3 linked regions of the Neurospora crassa OR74A genome follow. The protein of the gene in region 3 interacts with the protein of the main gene of each other region in a biochemical or structural test. Links are inferred from orthologs where the notes say so. Each region holds a gene or a part of one and is shown on either strand. Other genes may lie near its edges.

What was found.
Region 1: the proteins of NCU08973 (region 3) and NCU01470 form a complex in vitro, tested with the Saccharomyces cerevisiae proteins (2 studies listed by BioGRID). The link is inferred for Neurospora crassa OR74A from reciprocal best matches to the Saccharomyces cerevisiae genes YKT6 and VAC8.
Region 2: the proteins of NCU08973 (region 3) and NCU03889 form a complex in vitro, tested with the Saccharomyces cerevisiae proteins (2 studies listed by BioGRID). The link is inferred for Neurospora crassa OR74A from reciprocal best matches to the Saccharomyces cerevisiae genes YKT6 and SFT1.

Annotation. Positions count from the first base shown.
Region 1 is NC_026505.1:4,631,927-4,636,148, reverse strand, and holds the start of NCU01470 (vacuolar protein 8), read right to left. Parts: upstream 2,801-4,222; 5' UTR 1,991-2,800; coding exon 1,960-1,990; intron 1,878-1,959; coding exon 1,792-1,877; intron 1,738-1,791; coding exon 1,617-1,737; intron 1,539-1,616; coding exon 1,425-1,538; intron 1,368-1,424; coding exon 1,122-1,367; intron 1,071-1,121; coding exon 321-1,070; intron 262-320; coding exon 1-261. UniProt on the Saccharomyces cerevisiae protein: Functions in both vacuole inheritance and protein targeting from the cytoplasm to vacuole (cvt). Involved in the formation of nucleus-vacuole junctions (NVJs) during piecemeal microautophagy of the nucleus (PMN).
Region 2 is NC_026506.1:2,053,157-2,057,399, reverse strand, and holds NCU03889 (SNARE), read right to left. Parts: upstream 2,801-4,243; 5' UTR 2,193-2,800; coding exon 2,058-2,192; intron 1,992-2,057; coding exon 1,830-1,991; 3' UTR 690-1,829; downstream 1-689. Other genes in the region: NCU03890 (stromal membrane-associated protein), read left to right, coding at 1-689; NCU03888 (DUF500 and SH3 domain-containing protein), read left to right, coding at 3,507-3,543, 3,642-3,745, 3,804-4,243. UniProt on the Saccharomyces cerevisiae protein: Vesicle SNARE required for retrograde transport within the Golgi complex.
Region 3 is NC_026503.1:4,097,265-4,101,133, forward strand, and holds NCU08973 (SNARE protein Ykt6), read right to left. Parts: upstream 2,420-3,869; 5' UTR 1,978-2,419; coding exon 1,957-1,977; intron 1,899-1,956; coding exon 1,733-1,898; intron 1,668-1,732; coding exon 1,378-1,667; intron 1,321-1,377; coding exon 1,201-1,320; 3' UTR 746-1,200; downstream 1-745. Other genes in the region: NCU16686 (hypothetical protein), read right to left, coding at 3,538-3,869.

The DNA.
Region 1 (4,222 bases), on a different chromosome or scaffold from region 3:
CTTCACCCTCGTCATCGTCCTCCAGTTCGTTATCCGACTCAATCTGGCGGTTCGCAATCTGTCTAATCATATCCACAATGTCGTTCGATTTTCCAATCAGCCCAATAAGCTTCTTGTCTTCAGATTCGAGGAGCTGCAGCAGTGTCCAGATCGCAATATGTTGAAAAGTGGCGTCGCCGCTAGCGAGGAATCTGCTCAAGTAGCCGTGGATGCCATCGCTTGGCTCGTTCCAGTTGTGAATGAAAACACTGTAGTCGCCCACTGTTCGTTCGTCAGCATGTCAGGCCCAGAAACAACAGTTCATCAAGCATTCCACTGACCTTTAGATGACAGGTTACCCAGAGCCGCAGCACTGTTTCCTTGAACCTCGATGCTAGGTGACTTGGTAAGAGGAATCAAAACCTCAAACACACCGAGCTCCAAAAGATTTGTCTTCAGTTCATCACTCAGCGCCAGAACGGCAATGGCTGCCGTCATCTCCGACTGTACCGTCACTGGAACCTCAAGCACCAACTGCTTGCACTTCTGTACAGCGCCAGCCTCAAGCACCAACGCCTTGTTCCTGTCCGAGCTCGCTGCCAAGTTTCTGAGGGTTGAGATAGCATGACACTGGATCTCCTCGTTATCGGTCGACCCTAAGAGGTCAACCAATGGTTTCAAAAATCCTGCCTCGATGATGGGAGACTCGTTCATTGGGTGGATTGAGATGTTTCGAATGCAGGCAACAGCCGACAAAATGAGCGGTAGATAAGACGACTGAAGAAGACGGAGAAGAGGACCGAGACCGCTGGCGCGAACGATTTCCAACTGGTACTTTTCGTCCGAGGCGAGATTCCGGAGTGCCAAGGCGGCCTGGCATTGAACCTTGGGTGAAGAGGAGTCCATCAAGTTGACAAGAGACTGAACAAGCCGAGGCTCGGTCTGCGCAAGCTTCCGCCTGTTATTGGCGTCGACGGCAATGTTGCTGAGGGCAGTAGTGCAATAATACTGGACGTCGACATCGGTGGAAGACAGTAACTGAACCAACACAGGGATCGCGCCTGCATTGACCAGTTGTTGGCGATTTTCATCTATCACGTGTTAGCAATGTCTAGACAACGTCCGTCACGGTACAAGCCTACCAGAGTGTGTCATGTTTAGGAGAGCGCCAGTAGCATTGCGTTGAACTCTCATGTCCCTAGATTTGGCGAGTCGTGTCAATGGTCCTAGAGCCCCGGAACGTGCAATCTTGGCCTTGTTGTCCTCGTGCGTGGCCAAGTTAGTGATACACCCAACAGCGTTACACTGAACTTCGACGTTGGGCGACATCATTTGACGGATAAGGGGGGCCAGACCACCGAGCTGGACTATCAGGACCTTGTTGTCGGCTGTTCTCTTATTAGTCATCTCTACCGCACATAGACATCTTCGGGAAAAGCACCTACTGTTTACAGCAAGGTTCCCCAGCGCCGCGCTGGCTGCCCTTTGTACCTCGATATCGGAGTTTTGGAGAAGGAAGAGGATGGGTTCAAGAGTATCCCGGTCAACTGCCCGCACATCTAGCATGAGCAAGACAAAGTTAGCAACCCGAAGACCAAGACAAAGGGTCCTGATACAATGTCTCCAACGCTACGTACCTCGCTCGGTGATTTCAGCAAACGTCAGACTTGCACTCCGTTGAAGATCAATGTTCTCCGAGTAGACGAGAGTGCTCAGGGCGCGTAGGGGCTCTCCGGAGAAGAAGTCGGTCTCTCCGCGCTACACAAGGGTTAGCGCTTCCGTAATAACGCGGGCAGATATCGGTACGCATACATTTTCGAGATATTGGAGGAGGTCGGCAACAGCCTCCCGCTCGCTGTCGGCGAGGACGTTATCATACAAACCGTCGCGGGATTTGCCTGGCGGGTCCTGTTAGCTTTACTGCACGCATCACATATACATAAACGGAAAGGGAAGAAAGGCATTCAGGGCGTCACATACCTCCGCAGCACGAGGAACAGGAAGCGCCCATGGCTGCTGAGGGACGCGAAGCGATCTGCCGTCAACCGCGATGTACAACAGAGAGGCCGGGCGCTTTTGGATGATGCCGCAAAGTGGTGGTGGCGATGATTGTTGTGGTGGAATGCCGGGGAAGTCGACTCGGAGGGCGCCCCGGTGTTGTCGTTCTGGGTCCGGCAGGCGGTCGGTGGTGTGCCCTGGTCGGTGGTCGGGAGTCGGATCGGTCGCTCCACAACAAGGTGGACGGTGGACGCAGGGGTTGTTCTTGACGTTTGCGAGGGCCGCGAGGGCGAAGCGAGATCGACGATACAAATGATTAAAGACAAAGCAGCTGGAGCCAAAGCACGCCTCAAACGGAGCTCGGAGTATTGCGAGTTCACTGATAATGTGAAGAAGCCTATGTGCTCTGGTGGCTGACGACACAAATTGGAGGGAAGGGGACGATGTCGAGCGGGAACGGGCAATGAGACACGGTGTTGAATGATTTTCTTTTTTTGGGGTTTCTGGGAGGGATTGTTGGGTTGCGTGAAGCAGCGGGACAGCGGAGAGGCTGGAAGGAATCACGGTCTTCACAAAGAGATGGAAGACGGGAACAAGCACAGAGAGGCCGCGCTATGTACCGAGGAGCACCGCTCACTCCACTCACTGCTTGGTTGCGAAATGGATGGAAGCACGACGGACACCTCACGGACAGACAATATGGATCACGCTGCCTTGCCCCCGGTGCTGCTGCCCTTCGTTGTTGTTAATCAATGCGAGCAAATCTGTTGAACAGGGACCGGCGGCAGAGGCATGAATGATGGGTGAGCGGCGTCGAAGCTGCCACTGCCTCGCAATCGCGCCCTGGCCACTGAGACCCGAATCACAGAGCGCACCATTACACATACACGGGCAGGGCAGCGAGGCAGCTTCCAGAGCCCGGGCGTCTGGGGGAAAAGTGGGTCGTGCGCTGAGGTGGCACCTGCGGTTGTGGATGCTCCTTGCGACTGGACCCGACCTAGGGTGCCACTGGATTTGATGTCATCACCACAACGACGACGCCATCCTCCATCCAGGCTTGCCAGGGACCCAAATTAGGGACGAAGGCGCGTAGAGTAGAAGATACTGTAGGTACCTACTTGGTGTTTCCATTGATGGGTTGCAATCATTCATTCCCTTTCTTTCTAGAGCTTTTGAGTCTTTGTCTTTGCCGAACAGCGGGTAGTATCTCCTGTCGGATCTTTCCACTCTCAATAGGTACTGTCCTCCAGTGTAGTATCCTGGTCCAGCCGCATCACAAGAACAAGTCACCTCACCCACTATCACAACCACACAGGCTGTGACTCTGTATACGGCAACTGAAGTGTACATGACCTTTGACCTTTCATTGTCTCCGACCCAAAGAATGTGTGGTGTCTCAGCACCAGGGAATACCCGATTCGTGTACTCTGTCGTACATACAAGGGAATTTGGGGGTCTACTAGGTTGTTAACGGATCTACCGGTCGCTGTGCCGTGTTTCGTTCAAGACGAAAAAGTGACTTGATGCAGTGACGACCGTTGAGTGTCAGTTAAGTTCGGAAGTAGCGTGGTGGTGTTAGATACGTATCTTGTCATCTCATTTCTTTGATCGCCATGCCACCCGGATTGATTTGTTTTCTTTAGGCCTGGGCACGTTTATGGAATCGTGGCACGTTAATGGCTTGCTTCAATTGGCCAGCTATATGACCATAAGGAGCTATAGGAGGTGGGCGTGAGCAGCCTGGCGTTGGTGAATGTTGACACAGCATGATGAACGTTCAACATCTGAAACATGGACATCGCTTCCCACATCTTATATTTGCAAAGACATCGGAGATCTTACTCCGCAAGACGCACGTTGCAGTTCTAGACACCTTATTCAGAACCACTGGAAGATATATTCTTGCTTTTACCATAGCCTATATGACCATGGCTTCCTCTCGCGAGAGGCTGGTAAGTTACTTTTGTTTTCCATTCAGCAACGGCTTTGAAGAGAGGACCCGGTTGGCTTTCATCACAGCACATAGTATCGAGATGGTTGGAGGGTACACAGGATAGAGGAGTTCAGAGCAGGAAGGGCATGTTCACTAAGGAGTAGTGATTGCCACTGTTCAAGTCAACTTTCATGTACTTGTTCCAGATTTGAAGCCGTTCAAAACACAACCTAGGAAGTGTATGATTTGCCAAGCGATGACACTCTCAACACACATTGTACATATCAAAGTGAAGAGCAACCTTTTAAAGAT
Region 2 (4,243 bases), on a different chromosome or scaffold from region 3:
TTTCCGGCCTAAGCGGTGGCAGCTTCTTCGATTCCAAGCCCGCCACATCCTCCCACCAATCCAAGCAGTCCATCAGCAGCCCACTGGGCTTCTCATCAACCCCTCCTCCTGCGCCAGCCTCTAAGCCCGCGCCCGCTTCCTCCGCCCTCGGTGACCTGTTTGACTTTTCCACAACAGCTACTGCTACTACCGCTCCTCCCTCGGCCGCCGCCCCGAAGCCTTCATCTGACTTCAGCTCCGCATTCAACCTTTCCAAGCCCGCCGCAACCACGCCGGCCCCTGCAGCCGTTACTTCAACAACACCAAACCCTCTTGCCTCTATTGCGACGTCTAACGCCTGGTCAGATGCAGGTGTATGGGGTTCCAACGAGTGGGCCTCCGCCCCTGAGCCCCCCAAGCCTGCGGCTCCTGAACCGCCCAAGCCAGCACCTGTTACCTCTATCCCTCTTTCTAACGATTTTGGATGGGGCAACAGCACCACCACCTCCTCCACTACCGGCGGCTCCTTCGCAAGCCAACCTATTGTCCCCAGCGCTTCGGGCGGCTTTGCCCCAGCACCAAAGGTGGCGGCCGATGAGGAGTTTGGGGGCTGGATGAGCAGCACTACCACACCAGCTGCTCCGAGCGGATCCAAGCCGGCTACCGGTTTTGGTGGCAGTGACGACCTGTTCTCAAACGTCTGGCAATAAGAAACCTTAGAACGACAATTCAGGGATCTCCGACATGGGGTTCAGAGGTAACCGAGTGCAGTCTACTGGGATTTTTGCTGTTGTCCTCGCGCCTGATGCCGACCATGTAAATATATAATCAACCGGCAGGTGATGTGAGAAATAGCTCGGACAAACTTATACCAAACCAAACCAAACCCATCAAGCGTCCGAACTTGTTTTTCCTTCTATACCACCTGACTGGAAAGGGGATGCTATCCACGAACACCATGTCGTACTTATGCTGTGGGAGTCTGATCTAGTTAAGAGTTAGGCAAATGATGGTTTATGCGTGACAAATAGGGGAATGATGAACAACGCAGTCATTCTTACATCAGCAAGTCATGTTTTGTTTTGGCATATTTACATTATAGACAACAAGTTATTGTTCGTTGGTAGGGCAAAAGTAATGCACTTTTATATAGGATCCTCCTATCTTTTGTAAGGTGTGTGTTGCCCTCATTAATGTCCTTCTGATGTCCTTGAAGTTTCAAAATGAAAAATCAAGGATGAGACTGAGAAATGTCGATGTCTGGCTTATACGACACGACGTATCAATGACAACCTAAGGTACGCAGAAACCAAATCCCAAATAAACAAACAAAACCGAACCGTCAACGCCATTGCTATGCCTTTGCATCTACCCGTCTGTTGTCGAGACAAAACATTAAGCCCAGTCTGTAAACCAAAATCCACACTTCGTTCAGAATCCACCAAAACACAGACCTACGGTCCTGCGTGACCTGCTACCCTCCCACCCATTGCCCCACCCTACATTGCACCTCCTCTGCGCAATACTAGTAGCGGCTTTTGTGGGAGCAAGCGGACTGCACATCGCCTGTACCAGCACTCCAACATCCAACAAGCTATCCGGACAAGCTCCATCCTGTCTTGATGTCCGGCTTCGCACGCATCCGTCTTATCATTCCTGATATTTGTCGGGAATCGAATCGTGCCGCCCTCTACATCCTTCGCCCTGTGTTGTTGTAGTGAACCCGATGAAGAGAACCTCCCTTCCTTTTGCTTCCTGGCATGTATTCGCATGTCGAAGTTCAATAGACCCAATAGACCCAATATTCAAACGACTTTAGCCCTCTCACACGTCGTGACTTTTTGAATCATTTAACCAACAAAAAGTCGATAAAGATAGTAAATGACCAGGAAGCTCCCAATAAGAATACCCGAGAGCTTGAGAATGGCGACCTTGTTCCCCGATGCGGCCATGCGGCCTAGACGGGTGGCGGAACCTTTGAGTTGAGAGCCCATGGAGGAGAAGGTATCGGTCTGTTCGTTGTTGGTGGGACTTGTCAGTTTGTTATTTTGTGCAGAGTAAAATCAAAGGAACCGTACCGTTTGGTCGATAACTTCGTGGTTGCGCGCCTGGTCGTAAATGTCAATCGTTACACCTCGAAGGGCAGAAACCTTGGAGGCTAGCTCGTCGAGGCGCGCATTATTTTGGCGCTCGCGCTCGTAGTTTGCGGACATCTTGATAATGGTAATGGGGGGGGGTTGTGTTGTGGTCGTAGTTGTATGTTGCGACTCGCTCAGCGGCCGTGTGGGAGGTTCACTCGTCAGTTTTGAGTATCGGGTTAATTGGAACTCGCTGATATGGCCCGAGTTTCGTATTATCGAAGATGTTATTACGTGTTATTTTGTCGCGCGCGCGGGGGTCGGCTTCGGTGTCTTGCAGCGTCCGTTGTTCGGAGTGAAGCCGTGGTGTTCCTAGGTATTGCTGAGTGCTATGGGGATGTCAAAAGGGGGTAGGTTGTAGCAGGTTCCAGATGCACTCAGTTCAGGGTCACAATGAAAGGACACCGGGATCATGCATCCATCATGATGGGGGCGGCCGGCTCACTGCAGCTTGTTGATGCATACACCAGCCACAGCTACGGCCTCCTAGTCGCGAATGATGTCAGTTTCGGCCATTTACGTGTGGCTGCGCGTAAAGCACATGCATGGTCAATGCGGGGTCTTTTTCGGGGGGAGCGGAGCCTGCTGGAGCCATTTGATTGTGCTCGTGGTCGGGCCACTGCAACTTTGGGTCCCGTCAGTCAGTCACCTACGTAACGACGAACGCCCGCTCTGCTCTGCCCGCTGGACAAGGCCCGGGTATTCAAAGTGGAAGGTGCAGGGCGCAGGGACGGAGTAAAGTAGAGAAGTAGAGGTACAGTAGTGTACGCTACTGCACAGCCCACGGCGGCAGTGCTTGCCCAAGCCCATCCCAGCGTCTCCAGTGATTGAGGGTCCAGTGCTACAGTTCTCACATGACGCGCGGCACGAGCTCCAGCTTCCATTTCCAAGTACTTCCATTTCAAATGTTGACTGTGATGAATTCCATGCCACTGTTTAGCCTCGCTCATCAGTTACTCCGATCTGTGAAGAAGAGGGAAAAAAACAAACTCTCAAACGGACAGTTACACCAACAAAAGAGCACGCACAAAGGCTTATCCTCCGGGAACAAGATCGTTCATCACGAACAACAAGTGACCCCAAGGATCTCCCCAGCATCTTGACAAACCGCCGTTGTGGGGACGCCCAGGTACCAACCTCGCATTTACTATGTACACAAGAAATTGACCGGGCTGATCTGCTTACTTGCTTGCCTGCCAGTGTGCCTGCAGGCATTGATCGGCCAGTGTCCCGAGAAATGACTGACGAACTCCATCTCTTTCTTTCTTTCTAATATTTCGCTGTCGCTGTCGCATTTCCACGGCATTCTCACCGCAGCCGCTCTACACGCCCTCGCCCTTCAAGACCCGCGCCAGTCCGCTATAGGGAGTTCCGCTTCGACACTTCAAGATGGGTATCAACAACCCTCTTCCGTCGTCACTTTCGTGTGAGTTTGTGTCCCCGGGGTTCCCGTGCTGTGCGAGCCCGACCCCGCAACTCCCCTTCGCTTCGCCGAATCCGACATCCTAACACGTCTGTAACCAGCGGAATGTAAGAAGTGCGGTAAAATCCTCGCCTCCTTCATCGAGCCCAAACAAGCCTTTGGTCCCGACAAGGTGATACCGCCATCAGTGCTCGCGAATGCCAAGGTACGAAACAGCATCCGCAACCTCAACGAAAGCGACCAGGTGGTTAACGTTCTCCTAGGGTCTTGCTATACTCACCGTCATCAAAGCTGGTTTCCTCGGATCTGCCCGTTTCGGTAGCGGCCTGGTAGTCGCCCGCCTCCCCGACGGCAGCTGGTCTGCCCCCACCGCCATTGCTACGGGTGGTGCCGGCTTCGGCGGTCAGATCGGTTTCGAGCTTACAGATTTCGTTTTCATTCTCAACGACGCGAGCGCCGTAAAAACCTTCGCCCAAGCTGGGTCACTTACACTTGGTGGTAACGTTTCGGTCGCGGCCGGGCCTGTCGGTAGAAATGCCGAGGCCGCCGGAGCCGCTTCGCTGAGAAGCGTAGCGGGCATCTTCAGTTATTCCAAGACCAAGGGCTTGTTTGCTGGCGTGTCTCTCGAAGGTTCTATGATAATCGAGCGAAAAGACGCCAATGCAAAGCTCTATGGTCGTCAGGTTTCCGCCAAGGAGCTCCT
Region 3 (3,869 bases):
TATCTCTGCCCAGTCAACTGGGTCCCGGCAATGGGTTTGTTTAGGGTTCGATTGGTGTCAAATAAAGCCCAGCCCAATACAATGAGTTTTACGCCGTATATGTAGCAGTTCTCACTTGTGACATATTCTCTACCTTGACTATAGATGTTCTCGACATGTCAGTCACCTACAAAGACCCCCAATGATGATCCCATGAATTCTAATATGATCTTTGCCGTAAGCCGAATCCCCATTCATTTGAAGCAAAGGCGCGACATCAGGTAGGAGCGCCTCTGCCACCCCGCACATTTACAGTCTCAGTTTCCTATGATGTTGTTCGAACCCCAGCTTGCATCCAACGTCTGTAGTGCACATGAGTAGACGCCGACGGAGCCGATATAAGATCGGCATGGAGGAAGATCCGTACGCAATGCCGCCATCATCGATCAGCTCAATTGATGCTGCTGCGTAGTCTTGTAGTTTGAATCTCAACGTTTCCATTCATATCTTCAAAAGAGTCTTTTTGGCTGGGCTAGCTTGAGAGGGATAACAACCCCTAGAATATACCATAGTGTACATTAGTTACGACTCGCACAGTTTACGCCACTACGGCGTGGCGGACAAGGTCGTCATCACTGCAACCGAATGTCGTGACTGGGGAACCCGACCGCTTCGCTTGTGTCGGCCCATCACATAATCTTTGAGGGCGGATGTCGTATGAAACTAACGGGTATGCAAGAAACGGAGCGAAGATCTCTCAGATAAGTGCGCAGCCTCGGGTTCGACACATAACAAATCTATAACAGGACTACCTACATCTGGTAGTCGAAGTATGTATTTCACAGCTTTAGCGCCAAACAGTGGTCAATCTTTCACAGTTTCGGGTATGTACCACACAACAATGAATATGAGAAAGGGTATATTGCAGGTTGAATTAGAAGTTTAGCATTCTCAGAGCCCACGAAGCCGTCAAGGTAAGTGGCTTTCACATATCCAAAGCGGCTACTGTAAGGCCCTCTGTCGTCAGTAGCCAAACTGCAACCTGCGCGGAAACCAAAAGCTGAATTAGAAGAGACCCCCACCAGTGCCTCGAAGACAACGAGGGGTCAGTCGCTCTTTGTATTTGGGTAGGGGGAACGTTGCGGTCGATGGCATATATCAGTGCGGCTGACTAAAAGCGAAGACAGTCGCGCGTGGTTGGTTGGTATTGATGAACGATCTTTACATAACCAGGCAGCACGAGTTCTGCTTCTTCGCACTCTGGTAGAACATCTTGCTCTGCGCACTCAGGTCGGAACTCTTGGCAACCAGGTCGTCGAGCTTCTCGCCTCGTTGCAAAACCTAAAACTAGGTTAGCATGTTATATAGAGCATTGCTACCCTCTGTGAATGGACATACGCTATCAATTGCCTTGTGTAGGACGATCTTGGTCTCGTCGAGCTCTTGCTGGATCTTTGCAATGCTGCTCGCGTTGTTGGCATCTTGGTAGTCGCGAAGGTACTGCTCGATGGCCGGGAAAGGGATGTCGCCGTCGTTCTTGGCGGCGTTTATCGTGGCAACCGGCTTCTCCGAGAGAAACTGGTCCATGAGCTTGGAAAGGACACTGTGGGCGGCGATAGGAGGGTAGTCCTTGGTGATGACGACACCGCAAACACCCTCGGAGCGGGCATAGGCGTGGATAATATAATCTGTTCGGACACCACCTAGTCAGCTAGGCACATGTATGCGAGCAGAGAGTTCACCATAGACGCACCTTGCTCCTCAACACTTTGCCTCTGGCCAGGCTTCGTCCTCTCTGCGACAGTCCTGCTGATCATGGTCATGAAGTTCTTGTATTGGTCTCGTGTGAACCTGGAGAAGTCGCTAAGCTCGTGGGCACCGCAGAGCTGCACCGCAGGCTGCTCGGTGTTTTTGTAGATCTTGTTCGCGGTCAGCAGGTACCTTCTTGTACCCCCTATGAAAGCAGCCGTATCTTACACCAATGTAGTAGAGCTTCATGGTAGCGGTATTTGAAACGTCCCCGAGGTTTTGTTGTGGTCGTGTTTCAGAGCTTTGGCGCAAATCAGGCGAGTATCGCTGTTGATGGTTCCTGACTGTACACGATGATGTTGATGTCTCGCGTTGGGATAGAGAGAGCCGATGTGATGGCGTGGGGAGCAATGAGGTCTGGAATTGCCGAATCGTAGGGTTCGTCGTTAGATTAGGTTAATGGATTGTAAGTTGCGATGGTTTGGTCAAGGAAGCGCGTCGCTGTGTCGGTCGTGGTTCGGGCTCGACGATTGTCGATGGATTAGGGGGAGGGGTTTGATAGACGACGCGCGATCGATGGCGGCAATGGCGATGCGATGAGGTATCGATGGAATCAAGCTGTTGTTCGAGGCTGAATGGCGATGTGTCGAAGCCAACCACAGCCGTCCGCTTCTTGTTGGGCCAGGCCATCGAGACCCATGCCCTCTGGGCTGGAACAGCACCGTCAGGCGGGCGTCGGCCAAACACCGCCCCGCTAGCACATGTTAGTGCCAATGCTACTATAGGAAGACCTTGTCCTAACACGGGCTCTTGTTGCATCTCCGTGTCCTTTCATTTGCTTTTTGTTCAACCATGATTGACATGTGCAATGACGACTAAGACGACTACTCAGATCCCTACAATCGCACTTGTCAAGAACATCTTCCTGGAACATTGAACAAAAGTTTCCAAGGGGACGGACTGATGATGTGGAAGGTGATTAGAAAGCACAAACAGAACAAGCGGAACGCCGGCCCATGCTTCTAACGAGGTTTCCTGAAGCGAAAAAAGGGTCTTTGGTGTACAGTGTTCACCCGCGAAGCGAATATGTTTGACATGCACTCTGCTCCGAGTCTGGAAGGGATCGCGGACCTCTCAACGAGTATTACCCCTATGAGGCACATAGTATATGATTCCACGACTACCCAGTATAAAATACTATGGAGCAAAACTCCTTCGAGTCAGACGGATGGGATCGATGCCTTGAATGACCTTTTCGAGAACAAAGTCATCGATCCTCTCCACCAGGTCCGGATATTACACCGCGCGGATTTCCACCTCGTGTCGGATCTCGAAGCCTTTCGGGTACATATCATTCATGGTCGCACAAATGTAACTACACACATATGACCATCGAACCGCCTTGCCCACGCGTCTGTACATCACCAATAATGTAAAGCTGGACATGAACTTCTGGCCGAGAGATCGTCAGACTGGTGAAGCTAGAAGTCTTCCTACCAAAAGTTGACCTTGATGGAACAACAACCATCAAGACCCGTAGTCGTAGTGTATGTAATGACGAGGAGATGGCTCAAAGAGGAAAACCAAGCCGTAGTGTAGTGTACTATGTAGTGTAGTGTCGTGTAGACAAGCCTAGGAAAGAGACAGGGGGGGTTCGTGAAGTGGCCGGCACATGCGTCGGTTCCTCCTTCCACCTACACTACACCAGATTTGGACGCCGGCGATGCCTGTGGTGCTCCACCGCTTTTTGCACCGATTAGGACAAGCCCAGTGAGCTGTGGCTCTTCGCCATTCGTTTCCCCAGCGATCTCACTCTGCCGTCGCGGTGCCGTTCGCTTGTGAGATGGAAGAGGAACGGGCGGGATGCTGGGGGACGTTGGGACGGCGACGAAGCGCAGTGGACACTAGACTCTCTGCAGTGGGTTCGCAGTGCAGTGGGTGGGTGGACCCGCTGCTGCAGACCAGGGCCGAGCCAATCCCATTGGCTTTAAAGGCAAGTCCAGGGTGCAACGTCTTGCCGGGCAGTCGGGCGTAACCTGGACAGGAACCATCGTTCGCTCTTGGCTCGCTTGGCTCGCACTCGTCTGCTCCGTTGATTGACGAAGTCGACCTTCCCGACGCGACCTCGTCCCCCCTGGTCA